2 linked regions of the Drosophila melanogaster genome follow. The protein of the gene in region 2 interacts with the protein of the main gene of each other region in a biochemical or structural test. Each region holds a gene or a part of one and is shown on either strand. Other genes may lie near its edges.

Region 1 (6,685 bases), 6.3 Mb from region 2:
CCGCTGGTAGCACTCGATGGCGTCCTCCACCTTGTTGGACCCTCTGGAATAGTAGATATCGATAAGTAATAAGCCTTAATGTAATCCAAGGGATCAGAAAAGAGCATTAACTTTTTACTAATGATAATATTTTTATATTATCATTTATATATGCATATACGAAGGTGGTTTTGAAAAGCCTATTGTTTAAACTTGGATTTGTTTCTGGATGCTGTGCAAATATACAATTTTTTGTAAAATACCTTAAAAATGTAGATTTTTAAAAACAACTAAGTTTTTCAGCGAACTGAGGAAGTTTCCAAGTACGAATTACAGTTCGAATGGGTAAAACAAAAAATGTATTTCAGCTTACATATATAATTTCTTTGTTTTTTATTTTACACGATTGAACTTTTGTGCACTATGATTCATCGAAACCTGTACGAATGGCATAGTGTACATATATTGTGTACTACGGATATTTTTTAACGACATTTTGCACACTTTTTGTTCTTCATATCTGAAACTTATCTCTGTAAGTCGCACTTTTGCGCTATTTTCTTCTCTTTCTGGGTGGAGGCGTAGAGTCCACAACTGCGTATACGTATTATGGTGAGTGGGTATATACATAAAAACAAAGTAGTAAGCATAGTGAATTGGTATCCAAGTGCTATTTGGAATAGGGCTCAGTACCTTGTGGGGTTGTGGAGATGCTAGGCTAGACCAGACACAGCTCCATTTCCCCACTCCCACAGAAATTGCGAAACTTCTTTGATTTGATACGCACCCGAACAGCGATCCCAGAAAGCCCTTCTGCTGGGTCAACTTCTTCTCCGCCTCGGCCATCAGCTGGAGCGCCTTCTGTTCGTTGTCACCCATGTCGAGGATTTATGTCCGCCTCGGCACTAATTGCATCTAAGTTTAAGACTTGTTCGGCTTTTCAGCGAGTGTGTGTACGTATTGGGATCTTTTTTCGAGAAAATAAAATCAATATGCTGACTTGGTGTGACCGCAGAAGTGGTGCCAGTGTTACCATCTCACAGCATTCTCAAATAACTCATGCCAGTGTTGTGAAATGCAAGGGCTGTAACGTTTGTTCGTTCAAAATAATTCTCAGCCGCCTGAATGCGTCACCTACAGTCTGGCAGGTGCATTTTAAGAACAGCTGCCCTAAACGTTGCAAACAATCTTTTTTCAGATATTTTATTAAATTTTATATATATTCGCTTTTAGTTCAAAAGCATTTACATATTGTATCCTATAGCTACAGATATTTCTGGCCAAAGTTGAATATACTTGTACACTTAAACACTTTGCAGCAGTATTGTAACTTATGTATTATTTTAAATGGCGCTATAGCGCACTACGAACGCACAATATTACACTATTACTTTTATAATGTATCCAGCATTAAAATTTTGTTATCAGTCACCTCGGTGAATATAGGCATTTCGAAACACGTTTGCTTAGTTTAAACATTTAATTTGATCTCTTTAAAATGCATTAAGTGATCGGATCGTGTACGAAAACCATTAAACAGATATATTAAATTACTTTTGAGGGAGGCCCAACACTGACGATGAATATAACTTAAGCAGTATTTTCGATATGAAGGGGAAGGGGCAAAAACAAATAAATTCTATAAACATCGAACAAATCAATTTGAACGGGAACTACAATTTTAAAAGATGATGGGAGAGGAGGATACTTTCTGGGCTATAAATGAAGTTGGCCAGGGCATTCGTGAATTACGTTAAACTAACATTCGGCCTTATAATGATAGTTGGGCTGGCTACGCTTATGTGAACATCTTCTCCAGCATTTTCCTAAGTTTCTCCTGGGCATATCGGATCTTCTGGTACAAGTCTTTAGACACGCCGTTCTCCACAATGGTCGAAAATCGGTAGGTGCGGAAGTTCTTCTCCTGGTCCATATAGGTTATAGCACTCATGCGCGGGCAGAGGATGAGCTTCATGTGATCTGAGAAGTTTAGCTAAGAAGGATAGATAGTTCATTAGGACCAGATGTACATGATGCCGATGCTGTACAATTATACAAACCTGCACAGAACCGTTGGTCAAATGCATAACTACGGCACATGTTGTACGGAACCAGGAGTGTAAATGGGGCATACGCGAGATTTGATCGCTCTCAATGTTCACATTGTTGGCACCTGCCTTCACCAGGTGCTCGATCATGTAGCGCTTAAAGTACGACAGCAGCTTCATCTTCTTGTCAAGCGACTTGCAGTAATCCGTGGTGGTCATGTACGTCTCCTTGCCATCCTTGTCGATGAAGTGTACGTTGATCTGATTCGGCAGCAGGATCAGCTTTGTGGTGTCGTTGAACATCACGCCGATGCCCTCATCGCACAGCTGGTAACCAAATCCGTACTTGTCGCTGTAGTCAACCCACTTGGATATCCAGAAGAGCGGCTGCGCTGCAGGATCTGTGTTCTCGTCGCCCAGATTGCCTTGCAGAATTCGCGGCTAAAGAAGTGAAGAGGTATAAGAGTCTTAAATTATTTAACTAATATAGAGCAAAAGGTACTTACCTTTCCGTTGATAAGATTAGTGAGCTGCTGGTACAGGCTCTCGATATCGCTGCGATAGTCCTCGCTGTGGCGGCACACCTGCGCTGACGCGGTAATGGCGTCGTGCAGATTGGCCTTGAGGAAGGTCGACTCCAGACGAGTGTCGTCGGGCCTGATGCCGTTCATCTCCATCAGTGGCTTGCGGTGCATCGAATCCTCGATGGTGTCGTTGCTGCCGATACGCGGCGCCATTGTCAGACAAGAGCTGGGCAAGAACATGGGCACCTTTGAGCCCTTGAGGAACTCAAAGTTCAGCAGCTGACCAATTGCCGGGCGGCTCTCCGGATTTGGCTGCAGCATGGCGATGACCATATCCGCCGCCGGTTTCCTTAAGTAGCTGGGCACGCGGTACTCGCACTTCTTGATTTTCGAGTACGTATCCTTCAGAGTCTTGGTTTCGAACGGCGGCTGGCCCACAAGCAGTGTGTACATGACGCAGCCAATCGACCAGATGTCCACCTCGAAGGAGTGGCCCTTCTTGGTGAGGATCTCCGGGGCTATATAGTTGGGCGTTCCGCATAAGGTCTTTTTTCGCTCGCCCTCATACTCAATGCGCGTGGCCAACCCGAAATCCCCGATCTTCACGTGCAACAAATCGTTGAGGAAGAGATTGCCCAGCTTCAGATCTCGATGGATAATGCGGTTATCGTGCAAGTACTTAACGCCCTGGATTATCTGGTAAATGTAGTAGCGGCATTCGAACTCCGTAATGCTTTTCCTACGTTTGTGCAGCTCCATCATGGACTGTAAGTCGGAGAGGTAAGTGTCATGGTGGCATATTGCAGAGATGTTCTATTAAACTCACTCTTTTCTTGCACAGCTCCAGCACAATGTAGATATTCTGCGAATCTTCAAAGTAGTTGTGAAACTTGACAATGTTCGGATGGTTAAGGCTGCGGTGAATAGTTATCTCCTGGGCGGTCTTCTCCTTCTGATTGTGTTTGATCATCAGCTTCTTGGATACGATCTTGCCGGCGAAGACGTCGTCGGTTTCCACATCGATGATCTCGTAACATTTTGCAAACCCGCCCTGCATAAAGCATATTAATTTTGTATTTAAAAACATTATACAAAAACATAACCTTATACTGTATTAAAAACAGATCTATGATAAAACTTTGCATATAGGTATTTTCAAGTAAATGGCGTTTAATAAACGTATTGATGTCTATTTTACAAACATATTCTGTATAAACTTTTTATCCATATTGGTTGGCAACATAAAATTAGTAATTTATATTTAACAATCACATGTTTAGTACCTTTGCTCCAATCTGCGGAGCCCCTTCCAAGAAAATATTTATATGCCAATAGCACAACGAGGAAATTGTTGGTTCAACTAAGTTGCAACAGTTCCTTTTCTTGTCTATGTAAATTCGAAGAAGCCGCGCCAAAAAAAAAAACTGAACAAGCAGCCAACTGCATGAACACACACACACAGGCTCGTACAAGATTCCCACACACAGGCTCTCTTTTTCTCTCCTGCTCTTAAAGGAGAGAGCTACAAAAACAACAAGGGAATGCTCATCAGCAAGGAAAACGGAACGAAAACCGGGATGTGGAAATGGATATGTGTGTATGCGGGTGCGTGCATGTGTGCGTGTAGGTAAATGTGTGATCCCTTCGACTGATCTGATCCCGGGCATCTGCAAATCCGCATCCGGACTCACCTTGCCGAAGAACCGCATGCGCTTGTAGGTTTTCCGCTGGTTGATGTCGACGAGGCGATCCGGAATATCCGTGCTCTTATCCTCGGGCTTCGCGGCCATCTTGCTCTCCTTTCTTCTTTACTACGGACTGCCCCTTTTGCGTTTGCGTTCGCCTGGAGTTTTGCGGCGATACTCCTCGTTCTGAGCCTATAATTCCACCGGCGATCGGCTGAAAGTGCCTCGGAAACGGAGATCAGATCCACACGGTTGACAAGAGAAGCGGCGATCAAATCTCGGTTTTGCCCATCGAATGCACGAAAACCAAGCACAAAGCGGAGAACGCGCCGAAACCGTTCGATTTTTTAAATGCCAAAATGAATTGGACGTGAAGCGTCAGCTGAATTGGTGTGCCCGTTTCGCTGGCTATCGCACACTTTCTGGTATGTATCGCGGTATTTTGTTGAGTGTTGAACAACAAATTCTATGGCCGTTACCCTTTTGAATTTACCTACTGGCGTTTACTCTGTTCGAATTGAGCGCAATATTTTTTCCTATTGCTCTGCGCAACACTGTGTTTAACCGCTATTTATTTGAAAATCTACAAAAACTAACGTTACATTTTTGAAATTTCAAAAGGGTTTCATAAATTGAGTTTACTAAACAGTCAACGGTCAACTTTATATTGTAGAGCCCCTTTTCTAATTTGAATTGCTGCAAACGTTTTCTGAGTAAAAATACTGCCACCTTGTAATTGCAGGTTTCGATCCTGATTTGTGTTAAAAAGAAATTATTAGAAACAGCTATCTCAAAGCCTTCTATGTTTTTCAGTTAAACTTTCAAATAACGGTTAAAAATAATTTTGATAAAAAAAAAACAACACTAAAACACACACAAGTAAATAGAAAAAATAATGTGTTTACTTAATAACTTTATTAAATAATCCCCAGATTTTGTTTTTCTACATTGATTTAATAACGACTACGAATACCCCACTATTGGTGTAGATTTCCGTTTAGATTTTGACTATGCCTGCTGATATCTCGAAGGGGTCGCTTGGGTTGGAGGATTGTATGTTCTAGAATAGGTCTATTTGGGGTCTCTTGGTTATTGCCATCGTTTCGTTCTCTGGGATTACTCCTTACAAGCTGCCCCGTTTTGGCTCTTGTTGCTGTTCTGATTTTAATGTTTTGTTTTTGTTTGCGAAAGAGGCCTTATAAGTAGAAAAATGTGGTTTTAGTTCTTAGTTGTCGTCGTTAATACATAAATTATTACATTAAATATATTATCAATAGTTTAGTTTCATAGTTGGTTGCTTTGCCAGTGTACGCAGTCTCTCCAAAATGCCTTGTGTTTCCGTGTGGGTGAGTGTGTGCTTGTGTGTTTTAGGCCGAAGAAGTGGCTGGTGGATCTGATCGTGGATCTGAGTGTGGGTGTGGGTGTCAGTGAGTGTCCTGCGGTTATGTCTTAAATTTTCGCCGATCTATCTTATCAGCATTCCCATCCCATCGCATCGCATCCCATCTCCGACTCAGTCTCCGCGAACTCCTCTCCGCACTGAGCTCCCAAAGTTGAACTAGAAATAGGCGACTCGATACAGCTTTTCTCAGCTAGATCCGGTTGTGGAGGTGACCTGACTCCGCTGCAGGCGCAGCCATTCAACAAACTCATCCAGCATGACGGGCCCTGCAAAAAGATGGGGGTAACTAAATGCTCCGTTTCAAGTTCTTATTTTAACTTATTTATCAGCTTCTTTTAATACGGTTGCGAAATACATAGTTCAGTTTAGTTTAGTTAGCTCCTTTGTGTTACTTACAAGCTCCGTCGATATCGTAGTTTGATAGATCAATGCTAATGGTGCGCGAGAACTCGAGAATATTACACCACTGATCTTTGTTGATCGCCTTGTACTTTGATTGCTCTAGAAACTGTGCGAACTGTGGATACAGAGGCCAATGTTTGCCCAAAAGTAGTTGAAGCATGGCTTTGGCAGTGAGTATATCCATACACCGTTGGTCCGAGTCCTGCGGAATATGCAGAGCCTTATTAAACGCAGCTCATTGTTTATTCAAATGGATTACTGACCTTGGCAAAGTCGTAGGCGTATCTGTAGATGCTTTTAAAGGAGTTGGGATCGTTGAGTATGCTGCGCAGATAGTCCAATTTCACAACCATTTTCGCTGCCGAATCGCAGTCGAGTTCTGTGAGGCCCTTTAGCCACTCCTGCTGGCTGAAGAAGCCCATCTGGGTGGCGCCCATTTTGTAGGCCAGCACCAGCATCACAATATTCTCGGGCTCCACGCCGATATCCTCGCAGAATTTTTCCATGCCATCGGGACCTGAAGAATCAGTTTGTTACATAAGTATTTCGAAGGGCCAATAAGAAATAAATAAGCAATTTCTTTATATACCCAGAATTTGGTATGCCTGAGCGATTTAAGAAGATTGCCGATATCTTTATATTGCA
Region 2 (6,958 bases):
TGTCAACGATATTTCGTCAATTTGCCCGATGTGCGAGTCTTTGATAAGAGTCCCATCGTCCTCACACATGGTCAGCGACTCCAGCGCCTTGCGATCCCGGATCATGTCACTGAGCGTATATCCGCCTATGCTGCCGCCGATTCCCATGTTATCAGTTGTCTGGTTGGTAAGCGTAGTGGTAAGGTTTGGATCCTGCTCAAGACCAATTGTGGATTGAAGGAAGTTCAAGTTCGTAAAGTCTGCTGAGGTGATTAGCGAGTTGTTCATCCGTTCAGTGTTCATGGAGGAGCAGATGGAAGACGGCGGTGAGGTGTCTTGCAGGAAGGATTTGTGCATATTCGTCGTGACAAGACCGCCAATTTCCAGCTGAAGCATTGCTGGGGCACCCGCGACCGACCCGGTTCCAACACCGCTGTCATTTCCCGCTCCATTTTGGCTCTGAAAAAATAAGATACTTTAATATACAAATTAGTTGCAATTGCTTATTTGTACTTACGAAATCCAGATTCCGACGCTTTGGGCGAGTAAAGGTTTTCGAATTGTTTTTGAAGGCTTTCGTAAAATATAAAAGTTTAAAAATAAATTAGATCCTTGAGTTCTGCACTCGTTAAAGTAATGAATAGTAATGTATGGTGTCTTAACCGATAGGTGCAAGGTTTCTAAAAGCTATTTGTTTGAATTGTTTAATTTTTTTTGTTCATATTTAAAGGTCATCGCATCCAAACAGGATGTCATCATCAATGTCCAAGTCAAAGTTATTCTCATCGGCCACTAAAATATCCTCCATTTCATAGTCCAAACAATTTTGCCCGGTAGTCAATGGACCAATGGCTACTAATGGTGGCATATCGTTGAAGTTCTCACTGGGAAGATGGTCCACCTGGGAAAGGCTCATTTTCTGCACTGCCTTATTAAGAGGATTCAGCTCTTTTCCTGATAGGGGTCTAGAAATTTGGACATCCTCTTTAGACTTTCTGTCTAAAACTGTCACTGCAGGTTTATTTATTTTTTCTACCGACGGGTCGGTATTTATCATATTAGTTTCTGGTTTAAATTTAATGGTTTTTTTCGGGTCCGGCATAGTCGAAGTTATGCACAGCATGTCGTTGGTTATCAACCAGCCGGGGCTATTGGAAGTCTGCAATACGAATGTGCGCTGAAAGCGTCGTGGTTCCAGAGTATCCGATGATATCTCCTTAAAGTATCCCGTCAACGTAAAGATGCGTAGACTCGAAGTGAACACCTGGATGTCTAGCCCGACATTCTCTAAGTCTGTATGCATCAAAGGCAAGCGGCTTAAAGCGAGAAGTAGCGCAGCTCTACCCACTTGCAGCTTGGCGTTTTGTGCAAACGAGGAATGCTGGCGCTTCTGGTTTCTGTTGTACAGCTTGTAGCCGTAGACATAATTTAGTTGTACCGGCACGCTAAGCGAGAACATGGCTTGGTCGTCGTAATACTTCTTAAGTTTGAAACGCTCTTCGGTATCGTCAAAGAAAGTGTAGTATGAACTTATGAAGTCCTGGCAAAACTTTAAACCATTAGTCCCACCGCCTTGAAGTTGTTGAGACTTCGGAATATTATCAACAGCTTCTGTACTTTCCCCCAACTGCACACAGCCATGAACATTTTTCAACTGTGGTAGCATTTTTCGAATGACGTCCACGCTTAGCTTGGCCAAACCGTTTCCTGCCAAGAAGATCGTCTTGCAACTCAGTTTGTTGATGTAATTGAGTTCTCCCAAATCTTGAATCCTGTTTGCGCTTATGTCCAACCGCTCTAGGCTGGCAAAACTTTGGGAATTTCCCGCAAACGCTTTCAGGGAACACAAATAATTGTTGCTCAGTACTAGGCTGGTCACATGGGGAAATAAATGGTTTGAAAGAACTAGCACTGTTTCTAGCAGCTTGACCATATGCAGCGGACAAAAGTGCAGAGACAACTCCGGACTGGCGTGGAACCTGGAGAGATCTAAGGTGCGTGAATCCACCTCATAGCGTGATCTAAGGGCCTCCTGAATGGCAGTTGTAAATTCGTCTGTTATCTGGGCACACATCATCGATTTGGGCAGACCGGGTGTGACACGCACCTCGATTTTCTGGCACGTGTTAATAACTGCTACTTCCTCTTGCAAGCGTTTTAGGCGATTTGCGCTTAACAGGTTGTCCAACAGAAATTGTCCACGTGCCATATTATCTTCCGGTCCACTTCGCTTGAAGTTGAATATCTCCACCTTAATGGGCATCATCACCCACTTCAGTGCCACAAAAATTGAAGAATTGGAAACGCCGGCGCAGTTGGCGATGTTCACCGTGGACCATCCGGTCACAGTGGCCACGCGGTGGTCCTCTTCGGTGGAAGAGATCGTGTCCAGCACGGATCCCATTTGTTGCTCATTTCCAATCAGCTCTTGTACATATTCTCGAATTTTACTTTTTTCATTTAGATTTTTTCGCAAATCGTCAAGTGGCGACTGCGAATTCACGTGCTTTTTGAAGTTTTGGATCAAGCGGCTGTCCGGCTCGTGGGATTTGAAAGTGGCAAATATTTGCATCGCAAAGTTTTCAGGAAACTAGTAAAATTACAAAATCTTTTGAGGAAATAAACCCAGTAATTAAATTCCGTGCACACTACTAGCAATCTCCGGGAGTTTACAATTTTTTTAGTGTTAGTAAAGATCCAAAGGACGCTTCGCAAAAGCGATGTGTTCAGCACACTATTTGATATTTTACCGTTAAGTTAGCATTTAGCTATTTTTTAACTTACTGGATAAACGCCCTGAAGCTTTCATATATAATTATAAGTAATTGTTGTTTGTTAACGTAATTTTCTTACTTCCACTTCTACTATTGTTATCGCTTAAAAGAATATTTTGTATATATTATTTAAGCTATTTAAAATATTTATCTATGCTGAGTTTAACCATTGCATACATTTACAGGAATGACTATTAAGTATGAACTTTGTTGTAAATAGTTTTATTTAACTTATATTTTTAGCAATATTTGGAATTCTGGCATTCCACTTTGGAAAATCATTAAAAATAGCTCAGCATGACAATATTTCACTCAAATTAAATCGCCTAATCGATTTTTGATCCTCGTCTTTAGTTCGGTGGTAATTGTTTATTTAATTGTACGCAAATAGTTTATTTGCGTATTGCTTGATTGACTTTCGCTGGCTGGGCAGGAAGTAAATTGGATTTATATAATAATGTTTGCGTATAATGCGAGATTCTTGCCATATTAGCATAGCCAGTTTTTTTCCTTCAATATTATTGCCGTACCACGCACAGCTGTTTGCAATGGGAACGCGTGTGTGTGTGTGCGTATTGAGACTTGATTAATTACCGTAACAATAACATTGGCGCTGTTGCCAATTATGGCAATCGGCCACTTTGAAAGACAACGGTAACTACTGGCCAAGTAATGCTGCCCACATGCGACTTGAACTTTGTCAACGTAGCCGCCAGTTTAACCCAAATTTGATTTAGAAAGCGCAACTGCATGATGTGCTGCACATGTGTGTATGTTTGTGATCGGGTGCATCGGTATGTGTGGAAAAGGCTTACCCTCGTTGTTGTACTGCAAGTGCAATTGCTGCAACGGCGGCTGATTGTTCGTCTTCCACTGCTGCAATATGTTGGAGACATCGTCGTGGGTCTTATCCGCCAGAAATCTGCCAAGGAGTACCAGGCATATGAGTATTTATAGCATCGATGCCTCTGCCTGTGAAGTGCCAGCAGCAGTAGCAGCAGCTGCAGCAGCAACAACAACAGGAACAAAAACAACAGGAGTGGTTTCACTCACATATATGAATCATCCTTTAGTGCCTCATCGATGTCCAGGATATCCATGTCCAGCGATGGGTAAAACTTTATGCCTAGCTTAATAACACTTGATGAAGACCTAAATCATTGCCAGAAACGACAACAAAAAGGCCTTCGCTCGCTTGTCTGTTTGGCCAATACAAGATACTAATTTTGCTCAAAGCTGATAGAGATGAGCGATATCCGCGATTCCGTGGCGAGTCACTGGTATTTTTAAGCCGATGAGTCAATCTTGTGACTGTGAAAGCGAAAGTGAAAGTAATTATTGCAGCTGTTGGCAAAGTTAGCAAATTTCAACTTAAATATGAAGATAAATATTAAAATGATAACCTTTAATACCTAAATCATTGCATGCACGCTTGTTAAAGATTATATGTTAATTAAACGTTTTTATAATACAGACTGATTTGTAACTTTACTTGATTTGTAAATTATTTATTAAAATTAAAATTATCTCTAATATTCTTATTTTCATTGTTAATGCCTTTAATATAGATTTACATACATTTTGATTTAAATATGATTGGAATCCTACCTATCGACACCATTGTTTTGAATGCCGCAGATTTGTTCCCAGTCACAGTTAACCTCACGACGTTAATGGAGATGGCATATGAAACCTTATCGACTATCGAGTAATCATCGGATGCAGCTGACAACTCTGTGCGAATACGTTCACATTGACTACTTGGCAGGAGAGCAAGTGCCCAACATTTGTTGATTCTTTTGAAATTCCGGCCTCTATGGTTGGGAGATCATCGGGAAAAATGGAAAGATCAGTGGACGCCAGCATGGGAAAGAACTGCCGAGCCTGCGCCGAACACTCATCCATACTGGTGGACCTTTTCTCCAAGGAGATCTCTGATCCCCCCATTTGGGAAATGTTGAACTCAATTCTGCCGGAGATCTGTCGCGTGAAACGGGATGAAATGCCACAAAAGATCTGTCCTACCTGCCTGGTGGCCGCTCAAAATGCCTTTCACTTCCGTCACAAGTGTGAGCAGAGTTTTCAGTTCTTTTCCCAGCTCCTCCAGCTCGATAAATCAAACTCAAATCTGAGTAGATCCCATTGCAGAAGAGGTACTATGAACCCATTAATACCCTTCGAGATAGTTGGTTGCGAGGATCCATTGGACACAAATGTAACCAAATTGGACGCTAATCGGCCTGATGTAAAAACTGATATCGATGAGCCAACCGATGGAAAGGCAACTAATGGTCAGGAGAGTGAACCATTGCAAGAAGTTTTTGAAAGTAGGTCTATTCGATGTCATCCACTTTCACAAGAACTTCCATTGTACTGCTAAAATCTATTCTAGACTTGCCCGTTATATGCTAAAATTTAAATTTATTTTTTAGTAACAATGAACGATATTAAAACGGAAGATGAAGTATCCATTCAGGAGACATTTGAAGATGCCTTTGATGAAGAAAATGATAATAACAATACTGATAGCGAAAGGGAGGATTCAGACCAATGGACAGTGGGCTCGACTGAAGACCAAGATGAACCCTGGATTCCCGGCGGCGGAGGGCGCCAAACGGTTGGCGGCAATAATCAATCGCTTCTGTGCACAGAGTGTGGAGTGAGTTACTCGACTCAAAAGGCGTTGGCAAGGCACGTTGCCAAGCACAAGGAGCAAGGTGATACACAAAAGCCGCACCTCTGCGATTTCTGCGGTCGGGGATTTCGTACCAATGCCCAGCTAACGACCCATAGACGCCGTCATACTGGAGAGCGTCCTTTTAAATGCCCCCTCTGCCCGAAAGCTTATACGCACGGTCCGACTCTGAAGTCGCATATGCACACCCACGACGAGGAAAAGGGTCACAAATGTCCACAGTGCGACAAAACCTTTTACACGAGAGGCAATCTTAGGGCCCATATACAGAGGCACACTGGCGAACGACCCTATAAGTGTCCCGACTGCCCACAAACCTTTGCCAAAAACTCTGGCCTTAAGTTGCATAGCCGTCTGCACAAGGAAGAGCGACCCTTTAAATGTGAGCTCTGCGGCAAGGGATTCGTACAGAACCAGCATTTGATTACCCATTTGCGGGTCCACAACGGGGATCGCCAGTTCAAGTGCCCCGACTGCGACAAGTCGTTCTTCGAGAAATCGAACATGATGAAACATCAGCGAACCCATTCGGGTATAAAGCCATTTAAATGTGAGGAGTGCGGCCAAGCCTTTTCCCACAACCATCACCTTAAGAGTCATCTACGCATCCATACAGGCGAAAAGCCCTACAAGTGCGACCAGTGCGGCAAGGGTTTCAGTGCGAATCAGTCACTGATGAAGCATACCCTTTGGCACGTGGACAATAATGATCGGCCATTTAAATGTTCTCAGTGTCCCAAAGCCTATGACACTCAGCAGAGCTTACGGGGTCACGAGAAGACGCACAAAAACCCGGATGAGCCAAAAACGCTGCACCAATGCCCGCACTGCGACGTCAGGTTTGCTTTAAAAAAGACCCTGGATAAGCATATCACAAGCCACAAGATTCGACCCCACCCATGCCCGCAATGTCCAGAGGGATTTTTCTCCCAGAAGAGCTTAAAAAAGCACTTGCGACTTCACAACCTAAAGAAATAATATAAGATTATCCTGTAGCCCCAGCATAAGACCATTAGTTATAATAAGTGTTAAGTAGATATAACTACAGACTTCGTGTAAGGAAATCATTAAATTTGAACAATCTGATGTTACCAAAAATCATTGTTGTGGTATAATCGTAAGTTTATTGGTAAGTTATGTTATTTAAACAATCTAAAATTTCATTGTCCGTTCATTAAGGCAAGTTTTGTCTGTTGCACAGTTTCCAACTAATCCTGCGCCCTTCCGATTGCCAGCTGATGAATATTTCTATTTGCTATAACATAAATGCCTTGCTTACACATAATATTTGCTTACGTACAGATTTTGATTTTGATTTTGATTTTATTTTTGATTTTGATGAATCGCAACAGTTTCTCCCGAGATATGGGGGCTTTTTAAGCCGCCAACATAAAGGTGCGATATGTTTCCTTGTTTTTTTTTTTTTTTTTGATTATCAGTTAACAGTTTTGACCAAAACGGACCCAACAAGTAACACCGCATGCCTTAAAAACATTTATCTCTCGATTCG

The links. The genes of interacting proteins can lie anywhere in the genome.
Region 1: of the proteins of ssp2 (region 2) and polo, one has a biochemical effect on the other in vitro, tested with the Drosophila melanogaster proteins (one study listed by BioGRID).

What each region holds. Positions count from the first base shown.
Region 1 is NT_037436.4:20,307,966-20,314,650, reverse strand, and holds polo (polo), read right to left. Parts: upstream 4,998-6,685; 5' UTR 4,342-4,997; coding exon 4,243-4,341; intron 3,603-4,242; coding exon 3,378-3,602; intron 3,317-3,377; coding exon 2,534-3,316; intron 2,469-2,533; coding exon 2,040-2,468; intron 1,973-2,039; coding exon 1,778-1,972; 3' UTR 1,185-1,777; downstream 1-1,184. Other genes in the region: alphaSnap (alpha soluble NSF attachment protein), read right to left, coding at 1-43, 767-858; SCCRO4 (squamous cell carcinoma-related oncogene 4), read right to left, coding at 5,825-5,904, 6,035-6,242, 6,304-6,557. UniProt on the Drosophila melanogaster protein: May play a role in regulating both nuclear and cytoplasmic aspects of the mitotic cycle. Regulates localization of the augmin complex during mitosis by ensuring its location on mitotic spindles.
Region 2 is NT_037436.4:13,962,241-13,969,198, reverse strand, and holds the start of ssp2 (short spindle 2), read right to left. Parts: upstream 3,997-6,958; 5' UTR 3,854-3,996; coding exon 3,807-3,853; intron 3,676-3,806; coding exon 3,569-3,675; exon of another isoform or gene 2,552-3,568; coding exon of another isoform or gene 704-2,551; exon of another isoform or gene 553-703; coding exon 497-552; intron 439-496; coding exon 1-438. Other genes in the region: Nxf3 (nuclear export factor 3), read right to left, coding at 704-2,551; Meics (meiotic central spindle), read left to right, coding at 4,570-5,080, 5,186-6,426.